Linked DNA regions of Oryctolagus cuniculus. The protein of the gene in region 1 interacts with the protein of each later gene in a pairwise test. Links are inferred from orthologs where the notes say so. Each region holds a gene or a part of one and is shown in the gene's direction. Other genes may lie near its edges.

What was found. The genes of interacting proteins can lie anywhere in the genome.
Region 2: the proteins of LRP1 (region 1) and MAPK8IP1 interact in a two-hybrid assay, tested with the Homo sapiens proteins (2 studies listed by BioGRID). The link is inferred for Oryctolagus cuniculus from reciprocal best matches to the Homo sapiens genes LRP1 and MAPK8IP1.

Annotation. Positions count from the first base shown.
Region 1 is NC_091442.1:59,825,494-59,828,993, forward strand, and holds part of LRP1 (prolow-density lipoprotein receptor-related protein 1), read left to right. Parts: intron 1-1,023; coding exon 1,024-1,155; intron 1,156-1,308; coding exon 1,309-1,443; intron 1,444-1,570; coding exon 1,571-1,700; intron 1,701-1,789; coding exon 1,790-1,916; intron 1,917-2,116; coding exon 2,117-2,268; intron 2,269-2,349; coding exon 2,350-2,474; intron 2,475-2,759; coding exon 2,760-3,137; intron 3,138-3,500. UniProt on the Homo sapiens protein: Endocytic receptor involved in endocytosis and in phagocytosis of apoptotic cells. Required for early embryonic development. Involved in cellular lipid homeostasis.
Region 2 is NC_091432.1:20,079,097-20,083,210, reverse strand, and holds the start of MAPK8IP1 (C-Jun-amino-terminal kinase-interacting protein 1), read left to right. Parts: upstream 1-1,314; 5' UTR 1,315-1,403; coding exon 1,404-1,504; intron 1,505-3,040; exon of another isoform or gene 3,041-3,819; intron 3,820-4,114. UniProt on the Homo sapiens protein: The JNK-interacting protein (JIP) group of scaffold proteins selectively mediates JNK signaling by aggregating specific components of the MAPK cascade to form a functional JNK signaling module. Required for JNK activation in response to excitotoxic stress.

The DNA of each region.
Region 1 (3,500 bases):
GGCTGGGTGTGGGAAAGTCCTGGTGATAAGGCGGTGAGGTCGGGAGGGCGGGGCTCCTGCGGGTTCTCAGCTGGTGGTGCCTGGAAGTGGTGTTTGGGGAAGATTAAGCTGGCGGCAGCAGGGGAGCAGGAGAAACCAAGGCAGTTAGACCAGTTAGGAGGCTTTGGGGTAATCCCAGGGTGAGCAGCAGGGTCTGGGCTGAGAGTCAGAGGCGTTTCACGAGCCCCTGTTGACTGATTTATGGGCCCCTGGGAACCTCCGCCTTTGATGTGGGCACGGCAGGGAGGCAACGTTGAGGCTGCGGAACTTCGCAGAACTTCTCAGAGCCTTGAATGTGTCCGTGCACACCAAGAATTCTTCAGGCACGGACTCCAGCATTCAAATATCAGGAACATTAGACTATTAGAAATAAGCACTTCTAGTAAGCAACGTTAGGAGTAAATATGCAAGCACGGCCTGTAGCATTCGGGTTTTTCCCTCACTGGGGCCCCTTTGGGCGTTCATTTGGGGCCAACCTGCATGAGAGGATAAAGGCAAGGGAGGGCTAGGGCTACGCGGGGAATGGAGGGCTGGCAGCAAGCAAGGTGCTGGGAAGGTTTCTGGGTGTTGGAGAGAGGGTGTGGCCTGGACCAGTCAGAGGGAGGACAAAGAGGAAGCTAAGGTCAGGCGGAGTGCCAAGCTGAAAATCTAGATTGGAGACGTCCCATCCTGATTGTCTGAGCCTCCCCCAGGGCCTCTGTGGGGAGCCGCCCGCCTTGTGTTGTAAGGGCCAAGTGAGGGGAGAGAAAGCCGCGTCTCTGCTGCCCCCTCATGTCCGTGAGAGGTCCTGCAGGCACTCGCCCTCTAGCCAGGAGGACTTTCTTCAGCAGCGCCAGGCTCTGGGTCTCAGACACCTTTGGGTCAGGGGCGATGGCTGGGGGGAAGATACCAAAGAGGAAGCAGAGAAGAGCGGTGTGAAGGTAGCAAGAGCCAGGCTTCAAGGAGCGTCGCGAGGCCCGTGCCTGAGGGGTCATTGCCTTTCAGGCGTGGGCTCCTTTCTCCTGTACTCCGTGCATGAGGGAATTCGGGGAATCCCCTTGGATCCCAATGACAAGTCAGACGCCCTGGTCCCTGTGTCAGGGACCTCGCTGGCTGTTGGCATCGACTTCCATGCTGGTGAGACATTGGGTGACGGGGGATGGCGGGACGTGACCCAGGAGCTTGGGGACCTGCACTGGCCCCCAGCACCTGACACCTGCTGCATGATTCTGGCCCCTGGTCTTGCCCCCGCCACACCGGGTATCCTCACGTGGGCACCTCCACTTGCAGAGAACGACACCATTTACTGGGTGGACATGGGCCTGAGCACCATCAGCCGGGCCAAGCGCGACCAGACCTGGCGAGAGGACGTGGTGACCAACGGCATTGGCCGTGTGGAGGGCATCGCAGTGGACTGGATCGCAGGTGGGTGCTGGGGCGCCTCAGAGGGGATGGGAGAGGAAGTCGGCAGGGACAGATGGACAGCTGCAGGGGTCCCTGGGGCTGTGTGCGTGCCCCCCACCAACCTCCCTGCACCCCACTCCCTCCGCAGGCAACATCTACTGGACAGACCAGGGCTTTGACGTCATCGAGGTGGCCCGGCTCAATGGCTCTTTCCGCTACGTGGTCATCTCCCAGGGTCTGGACAAGCCCCGGGCCATCACTGTGCACCCGGAGAAGGGGTGAGCAGCTGGACGGGCTGGCTCGGGGCCAGCCCTGGCACTTTTGTGATCTGGGTTCTCACGCCCGTCCCCTTCGTCTCCACACACAGGTACCTGTTCTGGACTGAGTGGGGCCAGTATCCGCGCATCGAGCGCTCGCGACTGGATGGCACCGAGCGGGTGGTGCTGGTTAACGTCAGCATCAGCTGGCCCAACGGCATCTCCGTGGACTATCAGGTTTGGGCGTGACCATGGAGCCGGTGGGGAGAGCCCCGGCCAGTGAGAGAGCAGAGGGCAGGGGCCCAGCTCCCACCCAGAGCAGGACTCCTCTACCCCAGAGGCGACGTGCAGAGCAGAGGGACCCGGGGGACGGGCAGGGGTGAGTGGGGAGAGCAGGGGGTGGGGGTCCCGGAGTGAGGTGGCATCTGTGCCCGCAGGATGGGAAGCTGTACTGGTGCGACGCCCGCACCGACAAGATCGAGCGCATCGACCTGGAGACGGGCGACAGCCGCGAGGTGGTCCTGTCCAGCAACAACATGGACATGTTTTCCGTGTCTGTGTTTGAGGACTTCATCTATTGGAGTGACCGGTGAGGGCTGCTCTTCCGTGTGCCGTCCTCACCCCGTCCCTGCCCTGCGCGCGCCCCGCTCACGCCTCTCCCTGCCCCCAGGACTCACGCCAACGGCTCCATCAAGCGCGGGAGCAAGGACAACGCCACCGACTCCGTGCCCCTGCGAACCGGCATCGGCGTCCAGCTCAAAGACATCAAGGTCTTCAACCGCGACCGGCAGAAAGGTGTGAGGCTGGCGCTCTGGGCCAGGGCCAGAGCGACAGGGGCTGGGAGAGAAGGTGGAGCCTGGAGGGGTGCCCTCCAAAGGCCTGAGAGACCAGGAATGGGGGGAGGGGAGAGGCTGGCGACAAGGGCTGATCTGGGAGTTGAGGGATGAGGGCCTGGAGGGTTGACTGAGCTGGGGATGCTGAGGCAGAGCAGGCGCCAAGGTCAGGGTCCAGGTGACAGGAGCACCAGAGAGCCCCTCCCCCAGGCAGACCCTGCCCCCTGTGACCTCCCCCTCCCCCCAGGCACCAACGTGTGCGCCGTGGCCAATGGCGGGTGCCAGCAGCTTTGCCTGTACCGGGGTGGGGGCCAGCGAGCCTGCGCCTGCGCCCACGGGATGCTGGCGGAAGACGGCGCGTCCTGCCGGGAGTACGCCGGCTACCTGCTCTACTCGGAGCGCACTATCCTCAAGAGCATCCACCTGTCGGACGAGCGCAACCTCAATGCACCTGTGCAACCCTTCGAGGACCCCGAGCACATGAAGAATGTCATCGCCCTGGCCTTCGACTACCGGGCGGGCACCTCCCCGGGCACCCCCAATCGCATCTTCTTCAGTGACATCCACTTTGGGAACATCCAGCAGATCAATGACGATGGCTCGGGGAGGACCACCATCGTGGAGAGTGAGTGCCCGGGGGCCGGGGGGGCCGCCACAGACTCTCACAGCCCTCCCCTGCCCCACATCCGAATCCCACCTGCCGCACTGTCCCACAAAAGTGGCAGTCCAGCTGCGCTGAGCCCGCTGTCAGCTACATAAAAGTCTCCTTATTTGGAGTCGCTGTTGCCCAACCCCCCTCCTCCCTTGTCATCCCCTCCCCCATTCCTCCAGGGATGCCCAGAGTCAGGCCAAAGTCTGGAGCCCAACACTCACAGCTCCGGCTGCAGACACAAGCTGGGGTTCCACGCTGGCCCCTTAGGATCTCAGCAACTTGCACAGGCTTGCTTCCCTGGTCAAGCCTGGGTGTGCTGGGCTGTGTAGGGAGACG
Region 2 (4,114 bases), on another chromosome or scaffold:
CTGTGCGGGACAGTGTCTGGGGTTCTCAGGCGGCCACAGAAGCAGCCACTGCGGACTGGCCAGAGGCTACAGACCACCCAGAAGGGGACCCTGGGCTTGGCAGTCCATGCTCTGAATAAACTCAGGTGGGGGCCAGCGCTGCGGCTCACTAGGCTAATCCTCCACCTGCAGCGCCGGCACACCGGGTTCTAGTCCTGGTCGGGGTGCCGGATTCTGTCCCAGTTGCTCCTCTTCTTGTCCAGCTCTCTGCTGTGGCCAGGGAGTGCAGTGGAGGATGGCCCAAGTCCTTGGGCCCTGTACCCCATGGGAGACCAGGAGAGGCACCTGGCTCCTGCCTTCGGATCAGCGCGGTGCGCCGGCTGCAGCATGCCGGCCGCGGCAGCCATTGGAGGGTGAACCAACGGCAAAAGGAAGACCTTTCTCTCTGTCTCACTGTCCACTCTGCCTGTCAAAAATAAATAAATAAATAAAAATAAAAAACTCAGGGACGCTGAAGGCCCAGGCTTACCTCAAAGGGGTGAGAAGACAGGAGGAAGCCATGGCCCAAACCCAGCAGGGGTGGGAGTCAGTGGTGGGGCGGGGGAAGGCCCAAGTCTGGGTGCCTGGCTGCCAGTGGTGCAGCAGAGGTGCTGTGAAAGGTCTGACCACAGCGGGGAGGCGCCTGCTCTGTCCTCGCTGGTGGACTCTCCATTGGCTGAAGGGAGGCTTGGGTCAGCTCCTGCAGCATTGGCGTCTCCTGTCATCCTGACAACTGCCATGGGGGCATAGTATTGTCACCATTTCACAGGTGAGAGAAGCACATTTTGGGGCCCTGACGTCACTGACCAAGGTCCCCCACCCTCTCATTTGTGGAGCCAGGCAGTGAGCTGACAGCGCCTAAAAGTTGCCTCTCCGGGACTCCACTCACAGCCCAGGGACCCTCCTTTCCCGCCTGCCTCCTCTGTCTCTGCCCGGGGTGGCCCAAGAGGGTCTTGGGGGCCAAGGGGCCATTGGTTACCTGATGCCGGAGGGCATCGCCAGCAATGGGGATGGGGGCGCCCTGCGAGGTTGGGGGCGGGCAGGTTCGGATTAGGACGGGGCGGGGCCAAGCCCGAGCCGCGGGGGCCGTGCCTTCAGCACCATGGAGAGCGCCGCCTCTGGGGCGGGGCCGGCGGCGCGGGGGCGGGGCGCACGAGACCCCGGCCCGGCCCGGGGGTGCGCGCGGGGGCGCTCTCGCCAGTGCCGCCAGCCGCGCGCCGTCGGGAACCGCGCCCTGCCCTGCGCAGGTGCGCCCGCCGCGCCCTCCCCGCCCGAGCCCCGCGGCGGCGGCGGCCTCTCCCGCGCCCCCGCCCGCTGCTCCGCCGCCGCCGCCGCCGTCTCCCCCGCGCCGCGCTCCGCCCGGATGGCCAGGGCTGTGCCCGAGAATGGCGGAGCGAGAAAGCGGCGGCCTGGGCGGGGGTGCCGCGTCCCCGCCGGCCGCCTCCCCGTTTCTGGGGCTGCACATCGCGTCGCCTCCTAATTTCAGGTGAGCATCCCCAGCCGCCGCGCGCCCCGCCCTTCCACCGGCACCGAGGCGCCGAGGCCCGCGCTCCCCGCCCCGCAGCAGCTCGGGGCGGCGTGGGGCTGGGTCGCTTCCCTGCACCGAGGCCCTAGGAAGCCAGCCTCGGTCTGGACGGGTAGCCTGTGCCGTGCAGCTTCCGCCGCCATTGCGCGTCCTCGGGTGCAAGGTGATGAGCTGGAATTGGAGGAGGGGGCTCCGAGGACGCCCTCTTCCCTACTGCGGGGCCGCAGTCTGGGCCTGGGGTCTGGGTCGAGGTCGAGAGCAGGCAGGCCAACTGGGCTTTTGCCTGTGCTGGTCTGAGTGGAGAGGGGAGCGGCCAAGGGTGGCACTGGGGTCTGTTTCACCGGGTAACCGACAGCCTTGGTGCTGGAAGGCGGGAGTGTGGATCCCTCCCCCAGCCCTGCCTGGCCAGATGGGCCCGACTGCCAGGCCGGCATAGTCAGGACCCGGTGTGGAGCTGGGCACCCCAGCCCAGCCAGATGTGTCTCAGGGCAGGTGCAGCTGGCCCAGCCTCAACCAGGGGACTCCTGGGCCTGGCTGCTGGAGTCTGCCTAGGGGTAGCCAGGGACATGGGCAGGGGGACTGTGCTGAGCGAGTACCCGGGACTCTGGCCTCAGCTCCCCTCCCATCTGGTGTTAGGCCAGGTGATTTTCAGGGCTGTGAAGGGTGGGTGGGTGGGGCAGAGAGGAATGCACCTCCCCTCCATGCTGCTGGCTTTTGGGAGAAAGCAGCCTGGACAAACTCCATTGTTTCGCCATCTCCTGAGCTGGCGCCTTGCGGTCTCCTGGGGCCCCTGCCCCAGCCAGGGCTCAGCTGGGGCTTTAATACCAGCCCCTTCTCTGAGCAAGGGGTCTGTGGCTCCCAGGCCCTCAGGTGCACAGGGACCCCTGGGGGTCTCTAATGGCATCATCAGGCCCTGAAGCCTCCCCGGGGGCTCTGAGCTGAGCCCAGAGGACAGAGGGAGGCTCCAGGACTGCAGCCCCTGGCAAGACACAGAAGGCCTCCCCAGCAGGAGGCTGTCCCACAGTGGGAGAGCGTGGGGCTCGGAGGGCCCTGGGTCCAGATCCTGGCTCGGCCACTTCCCCAGTGCCTGCCCCACGCGGGTGTCTGGCCCCTGTGGGTTCCATCGGTTGAGTGGGATCTTTAGTATTGACTCCTGCCTGGGAAGGAGGCCATGTCCACGCAGTGGGTGTCCAACAAGTGGCAGCCCACGTGCATGCCGACACAAGTGGGGCTCCCCAAGCCCTCTCCAGGGCTGGCCCACTGCGCCCTCACAGCCACCCCCAGGGGGCTCAGCCTACCCATTCTACAGATAAAATAAATGATCCAGATTGAGGAGGGCAGCTGGCCTGGCCCCCAGGTCTGTGCGTTCTGTCCCCTGCACCCCCGGCCCCACCTCTGCCCCCCCCCCCCCCCCGCTCCCCTGGCCTCTGGCAGGTGCAGCTCTCATGCAGTCTCTAATGAGAGGAGCTATGGTGGCAAACACTGGGAGTGAGTGTGCCCAGCCCTGGCCGGAAGGCTGAGGCGTGGGCCGGCCGGCCAGGACACCATGGCCTAGCAGTGGGGACGAGGCCAGCTCGTGGGAATAACAGCAGCCCCTGTCTCTGGCCCTGCATGCCTGGCCTCCGGCGCCAGCAGCCCCCGCTGCCCTTTCGCTTATGCTGCTCCCTCACAGCCCTTGGCCCAGCTCCACGGAGCCCTGGGCAGCTAGGGCTGTGTTACGGCTGCGTGATGAGGTCATGGGCCCCACTGCTCCGGGTTTGCATCCTGGCTGGGCCTTCTTAGCTGTGTGCTCCGGTACTGGGCTCGTAACCCCTCTGAGCCTCCCTGTCTTGTTCTCCAAGGTGCTAGTTTGGCCCTTGCTCGGGGTGAGCCTGAGCCCACACATGTGTGTGGCTGCACCCTGGGCCGCCGTGAGCCCCCAGCAGGCGTTGGGGGTCCGCCCCAGCTGCTCAGCACAGAGTAGGTGCTCGGTGACGCCCTACTGGTGTGCTCCCTAGCTGAGGACAGGGTTGGGCACTGGAGCGGTGGATTTGCCCAGGCGCCACCCTGAGAGCTGCGTGTGCGCATGCGCGAGCCAGAGCACGTGGCCCTTCCCACGCCCGTCCCACATGCCCGGTGCTGTGAGTCTCCATGCTCTGCAGGTGCGGAGACCGGAGCCCTGGAGAGGTTAGAGAAGCAGCAGAGCTGGGGTCTGAACCCAGGCTGTGCGATTGCAGAGCCAGCCCCCAGTAAGACAGAGCCCTGGCGCACTTACTGGGGGAGCGTTTGCCGAGCGGGTGAGTGGGAGGCCGGGCGCGGGGGGAGGGGGGGGGGGCGGGCGCTTCTCGGGTATTGCGGGTTGTTTGTCCTGAGTGCTGTTGCAGTCGGTTACTAGTGGTTACCTCTGGGTGCGGGACAGGGTGGGGACCTCTGCCTCTCCTTCACGCATTTCTGTGTATTGGAGTTTTTATTTTTTTATAATGAGCACAGTTATCTGTATACCTCGCAAAATAATAAAAGAAAATGTTATTAAAGTGATACATGTTCATGACCAAGAAGAGAATGTAGCAATTTACACAGCGGGTACACTGG